Linked DNA regions of Sus scrofa. The protein of the gene in region 1 purifies or fractionates together with the protein of each later gene. This does not show direct contact. Links are inferred from orthologs where the notes say so. Each region holds a gene or a part of one and is shown in the gene's direction. Other genes may lie near its edges.

Region 1 (3,517 bases):
CATTCTCACCAGTTCCACATCTCACACTTTTTTTACTTTTTGCCAGTTCATCAGAGTAGGTGGGAGATACGAGCTCACTGTTTCCATATCTCCCTGTCTATTCATAAGGTTGAACAAATTTTTCTATGTTTATTGACCATTTATGAATTACCTATTCAGATCTGTCAACTGTTTTTCTGTTGGATTTTATCTTTTCCTTATTGTATGAGAGCTCTTTGTATAGTAAGGAAATTAAGGGAGTTCTCTGATGGCCTAGTGGGTTGAGGCTCCTGCGTTTTCACCACTGTGGCTCTGGTTGCTGCTGTGCAGCGTAGGTTCAATCCCTGGCCCAGGAATTCCCACATACTGCCTGTGTGGCAAAAAAGAAAAAAAAATACAAAAAAACAAGAGAACCTGAAATAAACTTTGCAACTCTCATTTAAAAAAAAAAAAAAGGAATGAATATTTTCTCTGTCAAGTTTTTTTTTTAACCATTTTTGTTATTTTGGAGATTCCAGTGAATGAAAATAAAACATGAAAGTCAAGGAATAGATACAAATATTAGAGGTGGGGTACATTTACATATGATTAAAATATAAATCTGGAAATTTAAGACTCAATAATTTACTATAATTAATAAGGGAATTTTTTAAGTATCTAAATTCAAGACAAAGTTCCCCAAAAGTTATAACTATTTGTTACAGCTAGTTAGAAAAGGATTTAGCTCCCTAAAAAAGTCCCATTTAAATTACTGACCCAAGCTATAAGTTACCTAGGAATAAAATCAACCAAAGGTTTGAGGACCTCCAGAAAGAAAACTAGTATCTTATTGAAAGATGCAAATAAATAGATGTCACATGTTGCTGTATGAGAGGATTTGATACAAATATCAGTCATTCCAAAATTAACATAGAAATCTAATACTTTGGGATATTATTTCTGAATAGAAAATTCCCAAGTGAAGAATAAGTGAGAATGGCAAGAAAATTTGGAAAAGAACACTAGCTATGGGATACTTGGCTTAATAATAAAACAATATAGGGAGTTCCTTTGTGGCTCAGTAGGTTAAGGATCTGGCATTGTCATTGCTGTGGCACAGGTTTGAACCCTGGCCTAGGAACTTCTGCATGCTGTGTGCATGACCAAAACAACAACAGCAACAACCAAAAAAAAAAAAAAGTAAATAAAAAAATATTAACATACAACAAAACAGTATGGAATTGGTATGGGAACAGATAGAATCACTGAAATGTAGATGTCCATATCCCAAATATATATGAGAACTTAATAGATGACAGAGATGATCTTTCAGAGGAAGAGGGATAGTTTATTTACATGCACAGTATGGGCATAATTGACTTTCCATCTGGAAGAAAACAAAGCTAGATCTGTACCTCATGCCATGTATTAAAATCAATTCCAGGTGGAGCAGATATATGAATGTAAAAAAGAAATGCTGAAAGAAAATTTAGACAAGTAAAAATTAAAATACATTTGACAAAAAATAAATGAACTATTTGCTTAAAAAAAAAAAAATCCAACAGCAGGTTACTTATAAATGCTTTTTCTACCCTGTGTCTAATCAGTACTGCGAAAGGTTTTGTTACTCTTTGTACCATTTGCAAAAGCGAAAACCCAATGAATGTATTCAAGAACTGCTGTTTATGTTGAAGGAAATCTTACAGTTTATTTTGCTGAAGTTACAGAGGCCCTTCTTTTCTGGTCACCATAGACTGCCAAGAAAAACAGTAGTAAAATATAAAAAATAAGATTTTCATAACATTCACAGAGATTAATTGTTTTATCATAGTTATTTGCTTCCAAAGATAATATTCAGCCTTGAATATATATTCCAAGGGCAATATCCTTCTCATATTTTATTTTACTTTAGTCTCCTAAGACCCTTCATTTTCAGCTTATTTTTTATGTATATATAGTGTGTGTATATATATATACATATATTTATATATTCCTTCAAAAGTTGAGACAGTTTTAGCTTACCAGTGAGTACATGCTACAGAATATCCACAATAGATTTACAGAAAATGTAAAAATTTTTTCAGAGAGTTCTGGAAGAGAATCAAGAACATTATCATATAGTTCAAAAATTCCTTATCCTTGGAGACATTGATGGTAAGATATATTTTATTTTGCTTTGTTTGAGTTCTTTGTTTTCTTATAATAATTTTGTAGAAAGTTATCAGAACGGTGCACATAACTACTACGTATTTTATTTTACACTTTATAAATATCAGCCTATTTGAATATAACTCTTTACTTAGTTGTTAGAAAATAAAATTTGAATTTAATCCAATATCTGTTTTATATGATGGTTATTAACAATGAGATAGTGATTTAGTAGTACTATGGGAATACAATAAATGCCTTTGGGTAGTGTTTATATTTCTAATTTTGATTTTTATCCCTATTGTTGAATCTTTGCTTTGGTGGCTTGTAGGTTTGATGGATGAATTTAGCAAATGGCTTTCCAAGAGCAGAAACAATCTACCTGGACACCTTCTCCGCTTCATGACTCACCTCATTTTGTTTTTCCGCACTCTGGGACTGCAGACCAAAGTAAATAAAAATGAGCCGCATGCCTTTCCTGCAAGGCTGATGCTATATACTTGTCATCAGGAAAACATACTGCTTTTTTGTTGTTTTCAAGAAATGGTGATAAGGGTGCATATAGTCTCATATGGTCACTCACTGATCACTCACTGTGGTGACCCATTAGGGTTCTGATCTGTGGCAGCAGAATGCTGATGGGTTGGTTTTTGGTGAAGTTGTAATTCGAATCCTCATCAATAGTGAGCCCTAAATCAACCTCCTAAACTGACTGAACCAGACTAAATTCTCTATGAGATTTTAAACCTTTGTTTTGTTTTTTTCTTTTTCTTCTGTCCTAAATGATTGGTAACATTTTGCTCAGAGTACATGTAGAAGGCAGAACAATACATCGGTTGAAGGCCTGGATTTTGGAGTAAGGAGCCTAGGTTCACATTCTTGCTCAGCAGCTTCTAGCTGTGTAATTCTGGGTAAATGAAACCTCCACAAGTCTTAGTTTCTTCCTCTGAAAAATGCAAATAATAGTGACTACCGACAAAGGGTCTGGTAAGGTTAAATCAGGCTTTTAACTTTGAATGTAAACCTCGCTAAGTACTTTACTTGACATATAGTTATTGCTCAATGGTAAATATTAAAAATCATTATAGCAGAATTTTTATTAGATGTATTTGTTGGTATATGTAAGCAATTGTGTTTATAATGGAATTATATCTTTCTTTTTTTCCTATGAAGGAAGAAGTTTCCATTGAGGTTTTAAAGACATACATACAGGTAAACTTCAGAATGATAATATTTTAATATCCAGTGGCAGGAAAGTCATCAGAATCCATAAGAGATCTTTTAATTATCATAAGTACTTTCTTTTGAAATTTAAAATTAATTGTGTTTAGCAGCACAAATCTGTGTCTGTATGACTCTCTAAAATACATATGAAATTTTGAAATGAACTTTTTAAAAAGCACTGCTGATC
Region 2 (3,517 bases), on another chromosome or scaffold:
CTATGGCACAGGGAAACCCTATTAAAGTATTTTTCATGCCCTATTAGGGTTACTTATGTGCAAGCTTCATGGGGGCAAGAAGTACCTCTTATTTGTGTCCATGTCTCCAGTCCCTGGCACAGTGCCTGGCACAATGAAGGCACTTACGCTGACCCTTTACTGAATGAATGAATGAATGAACAGATGCAGTGGAGGACTTGAGAAATGAGCAGTGAATTTAATGAGATGACTGCATTCTAACTGGTTGCATTCAATATCTTTGGTTCTAGGTGTCAGTAATTAACACTGTGGATACTTCCCATGAGGACATGATAGTAAGTACTCCTTTAGCCCTTCCTCATGGGCTGTGGACATGGGCATTTCTGTTCATTGTTTATGAACCCAGTGTTGCTTTGCAGCCTTTGCCAGCCAGGCCGTGGCCTCAGGGGTCCTCTGGCAGTGCCCTCTGAGTTGGCAAGGCAGGAGGAACTTAGAAACAGTTTGTAGCTCAAGGCCTTAGTCCTATGTTCTGGAAGGAGATGGTAGTGAATGCAGAGTTTTGAAATAGTGTTCCAACCTATCTTTCTCCTGCTGCTACGTCTTGGCCCCATTGGAAAGGGGGTTAAAAGAAGAAAAAGGAGGAGGATGACTATACAGAGGCAGAGCCAGGTCAGACCACCACAGACAGTGAGCCATACAAGGCCCTTTGAACCATAAGTTGTTAAATCAGGGTATTTGCTGAGACGCAAGCACAGGGCTTAGTACAGGAGGACAGGTGTGTGGGAGAAGGTCCAGAGGTTAAAGTCTCCAGCAGCAAAGACACAGACTCTGCTTCATGCAGGGCCAGGGAGTTCAGGCAGCCTTTGAACAAAACCTAGGTCCGGCCAGCCTACAGCATTTCATGCCAGGCATCCTGTCCTACATCTGTCCACCTACAGTTGCTTTTGCGTCCGGGAGATTGCCTGGCCTCAAAATTGTGTATGTTCCCTGAACACAGTCATGTGTGTGCTCTGGCTGTAAGACCACATTCCTTGGAGACAGCTCGGCACCTTGGGCAAGAAGAGCCAATCAGATCCCAAGCCAGTCTCTTAACTTGTCTGAATCAGCCTTGATTTCCTCATAGCTAAAATGGGAAAAATAATGGATATGCCACCTCTCTGTGTGGGTTCCTGTGGAGGGGCAGATGAGACAAAGTGTGATGACTAATGTCTGCCTGCTCATGGACATCACACCCCATGTTAAATACTGTCCATTAAGTACCCCTTTTAACCTTCATAACAAACCTTGAAGCAGATACCATCATTAGCTCCATTTGAAGATAAGGAAACTAAAGTGCAAGGAGATTAGGAAATTTTTCCAAGGTTGCACATGGTAACCTAAGGAGAGAGGGCTCCAATCTCATAGGTACTGTGCCCTGCTTCCTCCCAAGTGTGTGGTAGCACCCTACAGGAGCAGTACTTTAGGAACACTTGCAGAGAAATCTGTCCTCACCCCTGCTCTGCCTGCCTTCCAAAAAACCAAGACCTGAAGTGGTGGAGGGTTGACTTCCCCAGAAGAATCTGTTTTCCTTTGGTAAGGAGGTGAAGAAGGAATGTTGAAGCAGAAGGAATGTTGATGCAGACAGAATGATTGCTTCCCTCTTAAAGGATGTAGTTGCTCCTGATGACCACAAGAGCGGATAGTCCCTGAAACCCCAGGTGCTATAGCTGAAGAAAGTGCCATCTGTTGGAATAGACAAGGTCAGCAAACAGGAGGGCCAACAGGCAGAGTGGCTCAGAGGAACCATCACCTGGATGGACAAGGAGCTGTGGGCAGGGCCTGGCCCTGGGTCTTGATGGCCAGACAGCATCAGTGAAGTCCGTTCATCAGTGGTGGGACCAGTAGCATTTAAGGCATGGGTGAAGAATCTGGGATCTTGGGTACACTGCTAGGGAAAAGGTCAAGTGGAAACACAGGAACATGGGTCCACAAAAGATCCGGGGCGGGTGGTGGGAGTGGTGCTAAATGTCTGAATGGAGCCAACCCATGTACAGAACAGATGTGTGTCATGGAGCACCTGACTGGGGCCTACAGGCAGGCAGAGGCCTGTGCCTCTGGATCAGCACTAGCCCTGGATTCTGAGGCTGAGCTGAACCTCCCTGGTAGCCCACAGAGCCTCAGGACACATTGGGGCTGGGGGAAGAAGGAAGACAAGGGAGGCCAGGCAAGTTTCTTTTCTCCCATACCCACTCTGCAGAGTGGGATTGCAGAGGACTTTCTCCATGATGTAAGGGGTCTGAAAGCAGCTGGGTGTAGCTTTTCTTGGCCCTTTCAGAAAGACATTGCCATTCAGAGAAGTGAGAATGTTGACTTACTAGCTTTTTGCCTGGTAGTGATGATTCCTTGAGGTTCAAATAATGTCAGGTAGACTGGTCCAAACTAGGCTTTCTGTCTTGGTGACCACCCCTCCCCACACCCATCCGCGTAGCCTGCAGGCTGCCCCAGCTCTCCTCCCTTTGCAGCATGATGCCCAGATGGACTACTATGGCACCCGTCTGGCAACCTGCTCATCAGACAGGTCCGTCAAAATCTTCGATGTGCGCAACGGAGGGCAGATCCTCATCGCCGACCTCAGGGGGTGAGTGGAGCCGATGCTAGACAGAGTCTTAGTACTGGGGCTTCTCAGACATGGCAGGAAGGGCTGAGAGCCCAGATCAGAGCAGCCCACAGTTCCATTGGCAGAGAGGGCACCCGGTCCTAGCTACCCAGAGTTCCAGACTCATGGAGCCAGAGCGAATCCCAGCTCTGCCACCCAGAAGCCCTTAAAAGACCTTGGGTAAGAAAGTCTGTTTACTTCTTGTAGCCTTCACTTGCTACAAAACTGATCCTTCGAACTGATGCTCCTTCTGCCTGGGTGGAACCATCTTGGCAGCAAGCCTTCAGTAGCTGCTGCTATTTTTTTTTTGCCACGCCCACTGCATGTGGAAGTTCCCAGGCCAGCAGTTGAACCGGTGCTACAACAGCAACCCAAGCTGCTTCAGTGACAGCATCAGATTCTTAACCTGCTGTGCCACAAGGGAACTCTGGTAGCTACTGCTATTTTTAAAAGCGAAAAACTACTTTTTTTTTTTTAAGAAAAGGTTTAGTCCGCATGATCTTAAATGACTCAAAGGTGGTAATGTAAGAATATAATAGTAATTACATAAATCCCATAATTCTGCCTGTTGGCCCATGGCAGGCCCTGAGTGGGTATTTACAGCATTTGATTTACCCTTCTCCCTGTTGAGGTTCTTGAGATCCTGGCTCTCATATTTATGGCCACACTCTAGTGCTTTCCCTTAGTTCACTACGAGAGATAGACTGGGGGTTCTTACCCTGGTTCTACAGAGCTCCAAGGCTTCTGTGGATAGAATTCAGGCAGTGGCAAACTAGGAAAGGGAGAAAAAAAAAAGTCACATCTTTATTTTCAGGGACTTTAATACTTAGCATTTCCTTCAATGATAGCTATAGGCCAGGAACCCCAGTAGTAGACATAGTTTCTATCACTTTGTTACCTGTA
Region 3 (3,517 bases), on another chromosome or scaffold:
GCTAATGTTTTTCTGTTTCTTTCATCTAATAACTTTACATATATCCTGATTTCTAGTAGGAAGTTTTTCTTCCATTTTTGAAACATTTACTTTGATAAATACATATAGGTTTATAATTTGGTTACTGTCTTAATCCATAAATAAGCATTACTTTTTAAGTTATAAATAGTGTATTTTGGAGTCTTTGATTTTTTATATTCTTTTTTTACTGTAAGCTATCATCTTTTCTAGTCATTTCCTGTATTCTAAAGATTAGATTAAAACCAGAGATATTTAGAGCCACTTTCTTTTTTTTTTTACCATTTTATTCCCTTATTTTCCCCATGTAAGAGATATCCAAAAGGGAAATAAATTCACCAGTCCAGAACACTTCAGGCATGATAGTGAATAATAACTGTCAACCACAGCCTCTCTAGAATTTAATATTTTCTGCTGAAGAGAAAAATAATGACCATTCTGTGTCTTATAAACTCCAAAATTTCATTTATTTATTTGGATATTCTGTCTTTAAAATTGTCTTTAGCCAATAAAGCAATACAAGATCATCTTCTAGAGGTAGAGGAATCTAAAGGTCAAATGGAAAAAGAAATGCTTGAGAAAATAGGGAAATTGGAGAAAGAATTAGAAAATGCAAATGACCTGCTTTCTGCCACAAAACGTAAAGGTATGGATTGGTATATGCTTACTAATGGCCTGAAATACTGAGACTTCCTTCTCACTTCACTTCACTAATAGTATTTCGCTGCTGTGATAGTGTGATATGAGAAACTCAACAAGTTATGATATTAGAATTTATTTTTAGTTTATCATTACTCTACCTGTATCTTTATTGTGTTATCAGATGTAAGTACCATTTTATCACACATAATTGTGTGTCAGTTTTCAGAATCATTTTAACAATAATTACTGCATGATTTTTAGAACATGACTGTTGTCAGACTTGAATTTTCGTAGGAATTTATACGTAATGTGCAGTGGGTGTCGCATTTCACTTGTAGGAAACAGTGGCTTTAGTTTGAAGTTTTACAAAAGTTTACTACATTTCTATGTGTTGGCACAGGAGCCATATTGTCTGAAGAAGAGCTTGCAGCCATGTCTCCTACTGCAGCAGCTGTAGCTAAGATAGTGAAACCTGGCATGAAATTGACTGAGGTAAGAATGGTATTAAATCTTGTTCTTTTCTCTCAGCACAAGTGTTCAGATCTCTCTGAGTTAAGAACAAAGCACACTCTCCAAAAAAATTATTCTTAGTCGTGTAATGATTATTACATCATCCTGGGAAAGGCTTTCTTGGTACCTGGTTCTGTGGAACATTTAGTAAACATTTCCATCTTGTGTAATTCTAAGTTATATGCTTCTGTTATGCTTAGATTTGAAATGACCTCTCTTCTTTCAGCTATATAACGCTTATGTGGAAACTCAAGATCAGTTGCTTTTGGAGAAACTAGAGAATAAAAGAATTAATAAGTATCTAGATGAAATAGTGAAAGAAGTTGAAGCCAAAGCACCGATTTTGAAACGCCAGCGTGAGGAGTATGAACGTGCACAGAAAGCTGTCGCAAGTTTGTCTGTTAAGCTTGAACAAGCTATGAAGGTTGGTTCCATTCCTCAATTTTAGCTGTAGAAAAATACATGTGAGAAATGATTTACTAGGTAGGACAGTTCTTTCTTAAAGTATTTAAGTCAGAAAAGGTTAACTGCCTTTTCAGTGATAGGGTAATTATACATTTTAAAGCCTGTCATTTATACTTTTAAATATCTGTAGTTGCAAAATATTTTACCTTGATTTAGCTGAAATTATGAAAGCCTTTTACATTTTTTAAGACATTTGGAGTATGTTCTTTAGGGTTCTCTAGTTGATGATAAATAGGCAAATCTCTGGGCTACTGTTTAATGTAACTGTCTCTTTATAATAGAACTTTAAATTTAGCAGAGTCATGCTTTGTCAGGCATTTCTGATATTCTGTCTAGAAGTGATAATATTGTTTGACCATTGAAAAGAACTCTTTTTTTTTTTTTCATAAGATTTCACAGTTTGGCAAATCTTTATATGCATTATTTTGTTACTGTTTCTTTGCATATTTGAAGTATCGAGGAGGAGTTCCCTTTGTGGCTCAGCGGTTAGTGAACCCAGCTAGGATCCATGAGGATGTGGGTTCGATCCCTGTCCTTGCTCAGTGGGTTAAGGATCTGGCATTGATGTGAGCTGTGATGTAGGTTGCAGATGTGGCTGTGGCATAGGCCAGCAGCTGTAGCTTTGATTCAACCCCTAGCCTGGGAACTTCCACATGCTGTGGGTGCAACTCTAAAAAGCAAAAAAAAAAAAAATTATCAAGGAAATTTTTAAATATTCTCTATCTGTTGCGATTCCTTTTTAGGAGTTCCCATTGTGGCTTAGTAGGTTAAGTACCTGGCATAGTGTCCGAGCAGATGCAGGTTGAATCCCTGGCCCCACTCAGTGGATTAAGGATCCCATGTTGCCATGGCTATGGCGTAGGCCTCAGCTGCAGCTCTGATTTGACCCCTAGCCTGGGAACTTCTATACACCTCAGGTGCGGCTATAAAAAGGGAAGAAAAAAAGATTTTTGTTTAATATATAATGATTTATTTAGCGTATACACTAATAATGTTGTTTTTAGGATATAACTGTTAATATGAGAAATCTTCAAGATTTATTAAACATGTCTTGCTGACAGAATTTAGTTAAATCTATTCGTTCTAAACCAATAGATTTTTTTTCTTTTTCCTTTTTTTTTTTTCTTAGAGAATAGTATAAGTAAATTGGGTCCTTAATTCAAACAAACTTTTGTTGCTGTTGCTCTTGTAATTTAGACTTCAGTTTAAATCGGGGTATAATAAATCTAATGATCTCTTTCTCCTGGGTGAAATGATGTCTACCAGGCTTGTCTTGACAGATACTGGGTTTTAGACAAAGGCCATCCTTTGGATCTAAGTAGATCTTGAGTTCCTCACTGTTAAGAGTGAGCATTTTATCTCAAACTTACTGCCTGAAGGGGATAGTAAAGTAGAGGTGATTAAGAATCAGATAATAGTAGCTATTCATTGTAGGAAAAAGCTATCTGTTAATTCTTTCACTGATGTATAGGTACAGTAATAACAGCAAACTCCCTACATACTTCTCTCACAACTGCCAAAGAATTTAAAGATTATTTCTGTATCTTTTAACTGAATCTTCTATCTATAATATGGACCATGTCCAGTCTAGATTCTGCGAGGCTCACTTGTTAATTTTCTCACAAACCTGTTCCTATTGAAATTGGTTTATGCATATAACCTGAGGGCATTGTGCTCAGAGGTATTTGAAACACCAGAATAAATAGGAGGCATTTTTTACTCTATTAATATTTAAAACATTATATCAAAACAGTGCATTAAGCAGCAAAATTTATATGAATTTGAGATAAAACATAACATTTCAAAGATATTTTATGCTTATACCAAGCTTCTCAAAATGGTACCCTAAATCCCTAATGATAATGTTGCAAAAGTTTGCAAA
Region 4 (3,517 bases), on another chromosome or scaffold:
TAAAGTGTGTGGAAAGTAGGATAAAGAATTAGCCGGGGGAGGGGCCGCTGGGCAGAGAGAACAGATTTGAGCAGAGATCTGAAGAAGTAAAGGTACAAGCGCCAGGAAAGTATTCCAGGTAGAAGACACAGCAAGGAGACAGAACAGCAAGGAGGCCTTTGTGGCTGCAGTTCAGTGATTGGGTGTGGAAGAGGGACCAGATAGTGAGAGGAAGCTCAAGAGCAGGACTCTGTTGACTGGGTTGAGGCCTACAGAATTTTTTTCTAAGTGTGGTAGAAAGCCACTGGAGAATTTTGAGCAGGGGAGTGGCATAATCAACTCGTGTTTTTCCCAAGAATGACTTTGGCTACTGCATGGAAAATAGACTGCGGGGAGGGATGGTAAAGGTGGAAGCAGAGAGAGCAGGGAGGAGACTTAGCACAGTGGTTCTAAGGCTAATTTTCACAGTACTCAAAAGTAATGTAAAATATAGGAGCAGAAAAGATAAAAATGAAGAGGAAAGGAGCTCCCTTCATGGCTCAGCAGTTAATGAATCCAACTAGGATCCATGAGGATGCGGGTTCGATCCCTGGCCCTGCTCAGTGCGTTAAGGATCTGGCGTTGCTGTGAGCTGTGGTGTAGGTTGCAGATGCAGCTCAGATCTGGCGTTGCCATGGCTGTGGTATAGGCCAGCCACTACAGCTCTGATTCGACCTGTTGCCTGGGAACTTCCATGTGCCAAGGGTATGGCCCCAAAAAGAAAAAAAAATCAATCAGCAATATTTAAACCCACTGAGCTTTTTCTTTTTCTTTTTTTTAAAACCCACTAAGTTTTAAGCTTCAAGGTATCAAGGACTTTGCCCTGTATTCCCAGCACTTAGCACAGAGCCTGGCATATATAATAGGTACTCAGCCATTTGGTGAATAAATGAAATCTGTCCTTATTTGATCTGGAAAGAAAATTGCAAATGATGGCTAAAACTAAAATATACTGCTTCTGCCCCCACTTAATCCTATATTAAATGCAGGAGTTCCTGTCGTGGCTTAGCGGAAACAAATATGACTAGCATCCATGAGGATGTAGGTTCGATCCCTGGCCTCGCTCAGTGGGTTAAAGATCCAGCATTGCTGTGAGCTGTGATGTAGGCTGGCAGGTGTAGCTCCGATTCACCCCCTAGCCTGGGACCCTCCATATGCCAGGTGTGGCCCTAAAAGACCAAAAAATATGCAGACCACTGTCAGAGATAAAAGTTTACAATCCGGTAGTGTTGTAAAATTCTACTTTTAAGAACATTTACCTAAATAAAGGCTGAGAAGAGTTCCCGTCGTGGTTCAGTGGTTAATGAATCCGACTAGGAACCATGAGGTTGCGGGTTCGGTCCCTGCCCTTGCTCGGTGGGTTAACGATCGGCGTTGCCGTGAGCTGCAGTGTAGGTCGCAGACGAGGCTCGGATCCCGTGTTGTTGTGGCTCTGGTGTAGGCCAGTGGCTACAGCTCCAATTTGACTCCTAGTCTGGGAACCTCTATATGCCATGAGCATTTTTACCATTTCTTGGGAGCGATGTTTTTTGGCATACTTATCTAGAAATACATCCAAAAATTTTCTTATGATCACTTCGTTTTTTTGACTATCTAAGAGCTTAGATGTCTGTATATTATCTACATTTACTCTACTTGTCTTTTGGCCATTTTGCTATATTTCTGAGACTTTCCATTAAAGAATAAACAGGAAGACAAAGTCAAAATGAATCTTCTCCTTTGCTGAAGTTTTCAAGTTTGATAGCCATTTTATCTCATGGAAATTTGAGTGTTTAATATCACTGAATAGATCTTTGGTCAGAAATGGTGATGTGAATCATTACAAAATAAACTAAGATAAAATAAAATATAAAAAAAAAAGAAAGGGTGATGTGTTGGAGTTCTCTCGTGGCTCAGCGGATTACGGATCTGGCGTTGTCACTGCTGTGGTGCTGGTTTGACCCCTGGCCTGAGAATTTCCATATGCTGCAGCACAGCTGGGAAATAAAGAAGTTTAAACCTTGCCTTTTTTAAATGTGAGAATTTCAGATGTTTACTAGGATAAATTTAATCTTAAAAAAATGTTTTCCTCTTTTTTTTCCCCAGGAGGAAGAAGCAGTACTTTTTTGTCTCATAGCATTAGTAACCAGACTAATGTTCACCAATCTCTTATAAGCTCCTGGCTCAGCACTGATCCTGCCAGAGACCGTATTGAAATCACAAGCTTGCTTCCAAGCAGGACTTTGTCTGTGAACAGTTTGGATGTTTTAGGTCCTTGTCTTGTTTGTGGAACCGATGCAGAAGCAATTTATGTTACTAGACAACTTTTTTCATGAAGCAACTATAAGATTTCAGGTAAAACATACAGTTAGAACCTTTCAAATTCCAACTTCTATGCAAATTTTTATTGTTAGCAAATGTGAACTTTACAGGGGAAGCGTCCATAAACTATCGTTAATGTTTATGCCCTGTTTTGGCTTGTTAGTTGAATATTCCTCTAACAGTTGTTAGAGTCTAGTTGATAACCAATGGCAAAATAATTGAAACGTGTGGAAGAATGTCAGAGGGATCCTTGTGCTGGTAAATGTAGCACTTTCAAAACAATTCTGGACAGCTTGTGGAACCAGCTCTACATTTTTGATGATGTAGGGCTTAATAATGTCAAACCACCAGTGGGTTCCTAATCTTTTTTATCAGCAGTATGTGGGATATACCCCTCCCTGGTGGCATTAGCCCTTGTTAGTCTTTATTCCTTTTACTGCACATGTTTTCTGCAGTTCCTCCACATTTTATTTCCTTAGTGATTTCAATAAACTTTTTCAGAAAGATTTTTTTTTTTCTGTCTTTTGTTGTTTTAGGGCTGCACCTACGGCATATGGAAGTTCCCATGCTAGGGGTCTAATTGGAGCTGTAGCTGCCAGCCTACACCACAGCCATAGCAACACCAGGTCCAAGCTGCGTCTGCGACCTACACCACAGCTCATGGCAATGCCAGATCCTTAACCCACTGAGCAAGGCCAGGGATTGAACCCGCAACCTCATGGTTCCTAGTCAGATTCGTTAACCACTGAGCCACGACGGGAACTCCCCAGAAAGAATTTAATGGAGCAAAAATGACAAATTTTTTGTAGTGTTCAGATTTTTTTCAAGTTGAAAATGTTTTGACACATTCCTTTATTAGAATAGGTTTGAACAGAATTTTGTCAACTCCTTAGATTCATCTTCATTTTTCTTGAAAAGAAAAAAGACAAATACATTTATCCTAAGGATTTTGCTCTTTTTTTACACTGTATTTGAAAATTGCTGAACTGGACATTGTGCAATAAAATAGAATTTGACATTGATGAGTAAGCTGACTTCCAAACTGATATTTGATGGGTAATATGTATGAGACTAGTATGATGGGGTGGTAAGAATAAAGAGTTTTTCCATCTTTATCTTTATCCAAAATGTTAATGATACCCTAACATGCAGCATTTTAAGACAATTTAATGACATTGTGTTTCCAAAGTTTGTTAGA
Region 5 (4,067 bases), about 49 Mb from region 1:
ACATTTAAGTTGTGGAGGCCATAAAGTCTCCGTTACAACTATGCAACGGTGACCTTGCAGTGTGAAAATAGCCATAGACAATACATAAACAAATAAGCATACTTGCACGTCAGCAAAACTTCACAGAAAAGGGAAATTTGAATTTCATGCAATTTTTACAAAACACAAAATACTACTCTTCCTTTGATTTTTTTTCCAACCATCCAAACATGTAAAACCCATTCTTAGCTTAGGAACTGGCTACACAAAAACAGGAAGTATCACCAGTTTGCCAAGCCTGGTTTAGTCTGGACTCTTCCAGTAGCTAGCTGGCTGTGGGAGTCCAGGCAATAAACTTTACATTACTGCCTAGGTAGAGGTATAATACCCTCCAGAAATCAATGAGACAATGAATATAAAAGCATTCAAATGTCAGGCTGCACTATACAAAAACAGTAGTAGAAGGCGGCAATGATTCTAAACATTTGCTTTTAAAAATTAGATTCCAGGCTGCACTGCACCAAAAATTGAAAGGAGGGGAAATGTCACTGGGGAGGCAGGGTGAGACGGCTACAAGAACTACATTTTTGAGTCAGACCATCCAGGGTCTACATCAGGGTCCCCATTTATTGGCTGTATGTCCTTCAGTATTTAAAACCTGATGAGCATAAACTTCTACATCTGTAAAACAAGGAAGATATCTCCTACCTCACATTATGAGACATTAGTAAGACAAGTAAATAATCCACCTAGTGCCGGGTACTTAGTAGGTGCTCAATAAAAAACGGCAGTCAGTTGCTGCCCAGGGTCAGAATACAGGTCCGAACAGTTCCTTGGGAGGATGTAACAAGGAGAAGGCGAAAGTGGGGAATTGGAGTCTATATGTCTTAGGACTGGAATCCTGATTTTCTGACTAACTAATGAATCTAAGTAGGGCTCACAAAGCCTTCCAGCTCCATCACTGGGTCCTACGAATTGTTTAACACCCCCAAACCAAACCAAGCTCCAGAGCAAAGACTGCACAAATAATACCCTAGACCATCACATGTGCTTTGCTGGTTACCGAAAAATCCTCACAAGTCGCGGCTTGAAGCGCCACTTAAAGTGTGACAGGCAGGTGAGGAAGAGGTGACACTCACCTGACTGAAGGGAGACAGGAAAAGCGCCGACTCGCCTGAAGAAAGCTCTGGCCCGACTACAGCTCGGCGACTGTGCCCGTGATCGCGGGTTTACACTTTAAATCTCGCGGGAGAGCCCGGGAGCCAATCATCGCTCCCGCCCTCTGACCCGGAAGCAGAGTCGGCGCGCGCCGCTGCAGCCCCCACCGGACGCCAGCTCCCCTCTAGCTGCTTCCAGGCGCAATCTGGTGCGTATCGCGCGTGAGCCCAAGGGACCGCCCCGCTCTGCTACCGGCTGCCCCGTGCCCCCACCTTATCCCTGAGAGTTCCTCCTCTCTCCAGGACCGTTCCCCACTACTCTTCCTTCAGACCTCAGGTTCGGGGAGGTGATAGCGGCGTCTCGCGGGATTGCCTGGATTTGGAAGAGGTGTCAGGGCTCTGCAGACACTTCTCTTGTTCCCTCCTTCCTCTGTCCCAGCAGTAGTAGAGGGGCAAGTCCAGCCTACCTTGTACAAAGAGAACTTGAGAACGTAATTAGACTGGGCGCTACTTTAATGAATCATTAGGAACTGAGTTTCCTGATCTGGGATCTTTTGCACTTCCCACATCTTACCTGCTTGTCACCCTTAACAAATGTTCAGCCTCCGATACCCACTCGTAAGGTTTATAGACTTCCCGAGGTGGAACTCATCTGATTCTCAGTAAACATGCATCAGGTATTTGACCTGTTTGTTATCGAGCCCAGCTGTTTTCAGGACAACCCCTACCATCCAGTAAAAAAAAAGGGGGGGGGGACCTTTTTAGAATCATTTGGGAATGCTACTTCCAGAATGCACCCCAGGTTTATAAATGGTTAGTTGTTTTGTGCCTGGTTTTATGAATATTATTCTTATATTTTTGCTCTCCTTCCTCCGGATTCTATATTTTGTATTTACTTATATCGTAGCACTTTTCACCCTGAATCATAAATAACCCTGGATTGTGAGCTCCTTCAAGGCAGGAGTCTGTGTTTTTCTTCTCTACTACTAGTGCTCAAAAGATAGGACATAAGAGGGGCCGTGACCCTGCACAACTGCTCCTTATGCATAAGAAATTTAACTAAGAAATGTAGCAGGGAACAGGTTAAGAACAGCCACAATCTTCAAGTTATTGGAGGAAGTGACATGCTTTCCTTTGGGTGGACCTGGTCTCAGTGCTTTGTCGAAAATAAGCCACAATGGAAAAAAATTTTTCTTTCTTAAACAATTTTTTAAAAAAGAAAGTCTTTCAAATTCTAGCTGTTCTTGGAGTTCCCGCCGTGGCTCAGTGGTTAACAAATCCGACTAGGAACTATGAGGTTGCAGGTTCTATCCCTGGCCTTGCTCAGTGGGTTAAGTATCTGGCGTTGCTGTGAGCTGTGGTGTAGGTCGCAGACGCGGCTAGGAACCCAAGTTGCAAAAGTCAAATTCTGGCTCCTCTTATGAGCTTGGCACGCTAGTTAACCTCCCCTATTTTTTCTTTCTTTTTTTTTTTTTTTTTTTTGTCTTTTTGCCATTTCTTGGGCTGCTCCCGCGGCATATGGAGGTTCCCAGGCTAGGGGTCCAATCGGAGCTATAGCTGCCAGCCTACGCCAGAGCCACAGCAACGCAGGATCCGAGCCGTGTCTGCAACCTACACCACAGCTCACGGCAACGCCAGATCGTTAACCCACTGAGCAAGGGCAGGGATCGAACCCGCAACCTCATCATTCCTAGTCGGTTTCGTTAACCACTGCGCCACGACGGGAACTCCAACCTCCCCTATTTTTATAAAATAGGAACCATAGGTAATACCTCCCTTTTAGGTTCGTACAAGTGTTAGACATGATAATGTCAGGAAATTACTTAACATGGCGCCTGCAAGGAGTGCTCCGTAAATGTCAACCATCATTAATTTTTAATGAATGTATATATTAATGTAGTTCTATCTTTAAGTACTGATTTTATCTTTTGAACAGTGTAAACAGAATTTAGTGGTGACACACTGCAAGTATTATTTAAAGTATTTAAGTAATTTTTTTAGCTATTTTTCGTCACATTATTATTTTGATTAATTTGTTGAAAATAGCACTTTGACCATTTCTGTCTGTGTTTGTGCTTAATCCACAGTTTCGTGACCTTTTCCGATAGACGGGTATTTTTATGCAAGTTTTGCCATACAGGATGAAGCAAGATCCCACAAGAAATGCTGCCTACACTGTGGATTGTGAAGATTATGTGCACGTGGTAGAATTCAATCCCTTTGAGAGTGGGGATTCAGGAAACCTGATTGCTTATGGTGGCAATAATTTTGTGGTCGTTGGCACATGTACATTTCAGGTTAGTGTATAAAACTGCAATGAATGACAGTGAAATGTTTCGCTGATAAAAGGACTTATACAGACTTCAGTAAACTGGCTAAACTTTGGAAGTATATTGAGTTCGAATGTAAAACAAAAATGGTATGAAGATATTCTCAGTAATATATGCCTGATATTTGTGCAAACAATAAAAAAGTAGTGAAAAAGAAGAATACAGTTGACCCTTGAACAACATGGGTTGAACTGCATAGTCCACCACTTATACATGGATTATTTTCAGGAGTAAAAACTAGGATACTACAGGATCTGCATTCGGTTAATCTGCTGATGTGGAGAAACTGCTGATAGGGAGAATCTACTGCAAGTTATACTAGGATTTTCAACTGCGTGGAGAGTTGGCATGCTAACCTCTGTGTTGTTCAGGGATAATGGAGATACACATACACACACAAACACACACGCTCCTCTTTGACTTCATGATTAGAAGTAGAATATTCTGGTAATCGAAGGATACGCTTCACTGAACATTGTTATCTACAGGGAAAATACTAATTAGAAACCCACCTTTTCCACATTCCACTTTGACATAGGAAACAAACTAATATGGAGAGTTTAAAAAATGATCCTCCAGGAGATTTTATAGCAGTTATGAT

Evidence for each region.
Region 2: the proteins of NUP107 (region 1) and SEC13 purify together in Homo sapiens (affinity purification with mass spectrometry; 8 studies listed by BioGRID and IntAct, counting the BioPlex papers as one, with this or other methods). This does not show direct contact. The link is inferred for Sus scrofa from reciprocal best matches to the Homo sapiens genes NUP107 and SEC13.
Region 3: the proteins of NUP107 (region 1) and TPR fractionate together in Homo sapiens (co-fractionation; 4 studies listed by BioGRID and IntAct, with this or other methods). This does not show direct contact. The link is inferred for Sus scrofa from reciprocal best matches to the Homo sapiens genes NUP107 and TPR.
Region 4: the proteins of NUP107 (region 1) and NUP43 purify together in Homo sapiens (affinity purification with mass spectrometry; 8 studies listed by BioGRID and IntAct, counting the BioPlex papers as one, with this or other methods). This does not show direct contact. The link is inferred for Sus scrofa from reciprocal best matches to the Homo sapiens genes NUP107 and NUP43.
Region 5: the proteins of NUP107 (region 1) and NUP37 purify together in Homo sapiens (affinity purification with mass spectrometry; 7 studies listed by BioGRID and IntAct, with this or other methods). This does not show direct contact. The link is inferred for Sus scrofa from reciprocal best matches to the Homo sapiens genes NUP107 and NUP37.

Annotation. Positions count from the first base shown.
Region 1 is NC_010447.5:33,027,659-33,031,175, forward strand, and holds part of NUP107 (nuclear pore complex protein Nup107), read left to right. Parts: intron 1-2,042; coding exon 2,043-2,112; intron 2,113-2,437; coding exon 2,438-2,556; intron 2,557-3,279; coding exon 3,280-3,318; intron 3,319-3,517. UniProt on the Homo sapiens protein: Plays a role in the nuclear pore complex (NPC) assembly and/or maintenance. Required for the assembly of peripheral proteins into the NPC. May anchor NUP62 to the NPC. Involved in nephrogenesis.
Region 2 is NC_010455.5:66,517,896-66,521,412, reverse strand, and holds part of SEC13 (protein SEC13 homolog), read left to right. Parts: intron 1-269; coding exon 270-314; intron 315-2,480; coding exon 2,481-2,596; intron 2,597-3,517. UniProt on the Homo sapiens protein: Functions as a component of the nuclear pore complex (NPC) and the COPII coat. At the endoplasmic reticulum, SEC13 is involved in the biogenesis of COPII-coated vesicles.
Region 3 is NC_010451.4:127,526,887-127,530,403, reverse strand, and holds part of TPR (nucleoprotein TPR), read left to right. Parts: intron 1-523; coding exon 524-664; intron 665-1,060; coding exon 1,061-1,152; intron 1,153-1,396; coding exon 1,397-1,594; intron 1,595-3,517.
Region 4 is NC_010443.5:16,262,986-16,266,502, forward strand, and holds part of NUP43 (nucleoporin Nup43), read left to right. Parts: intron 1-2,103; coding exon 2,104-2,333; 3' UTR 2,334-3,517. UniProt on the Homo sapiens protein: Component of the Nup107-160 subcomplex of the nuclear pore complex (NPC). The Nup107-160 subcomplex is required for the assembly of a functional NPC.
Region 5 is NC_010447.5:82,090,184-82,094,250, forward strand, and holds the start of NUP37 (nucleoporin Nup37), read left to right. Parts: upstream 1-1,255; 5' UTR 1,256-1,345; exon of another isoform or gene 1,346-1,763; intron 1,764-1,788; exon of another isoform or gene 1,789-1,813; intron 1,814-3,222; exon of another isoform or gene 3,223-3,223; 5' UTR 3,224-3,256; coding exon 3,257-3,433; intron 3,434-4,067. UniProt on the Homo sapiens protein: Component of the Nup107-160 subcomplex of the nuclear pore complex (NPC). The Nup107-160 subcomplex is required for the assembly of a functional NPC.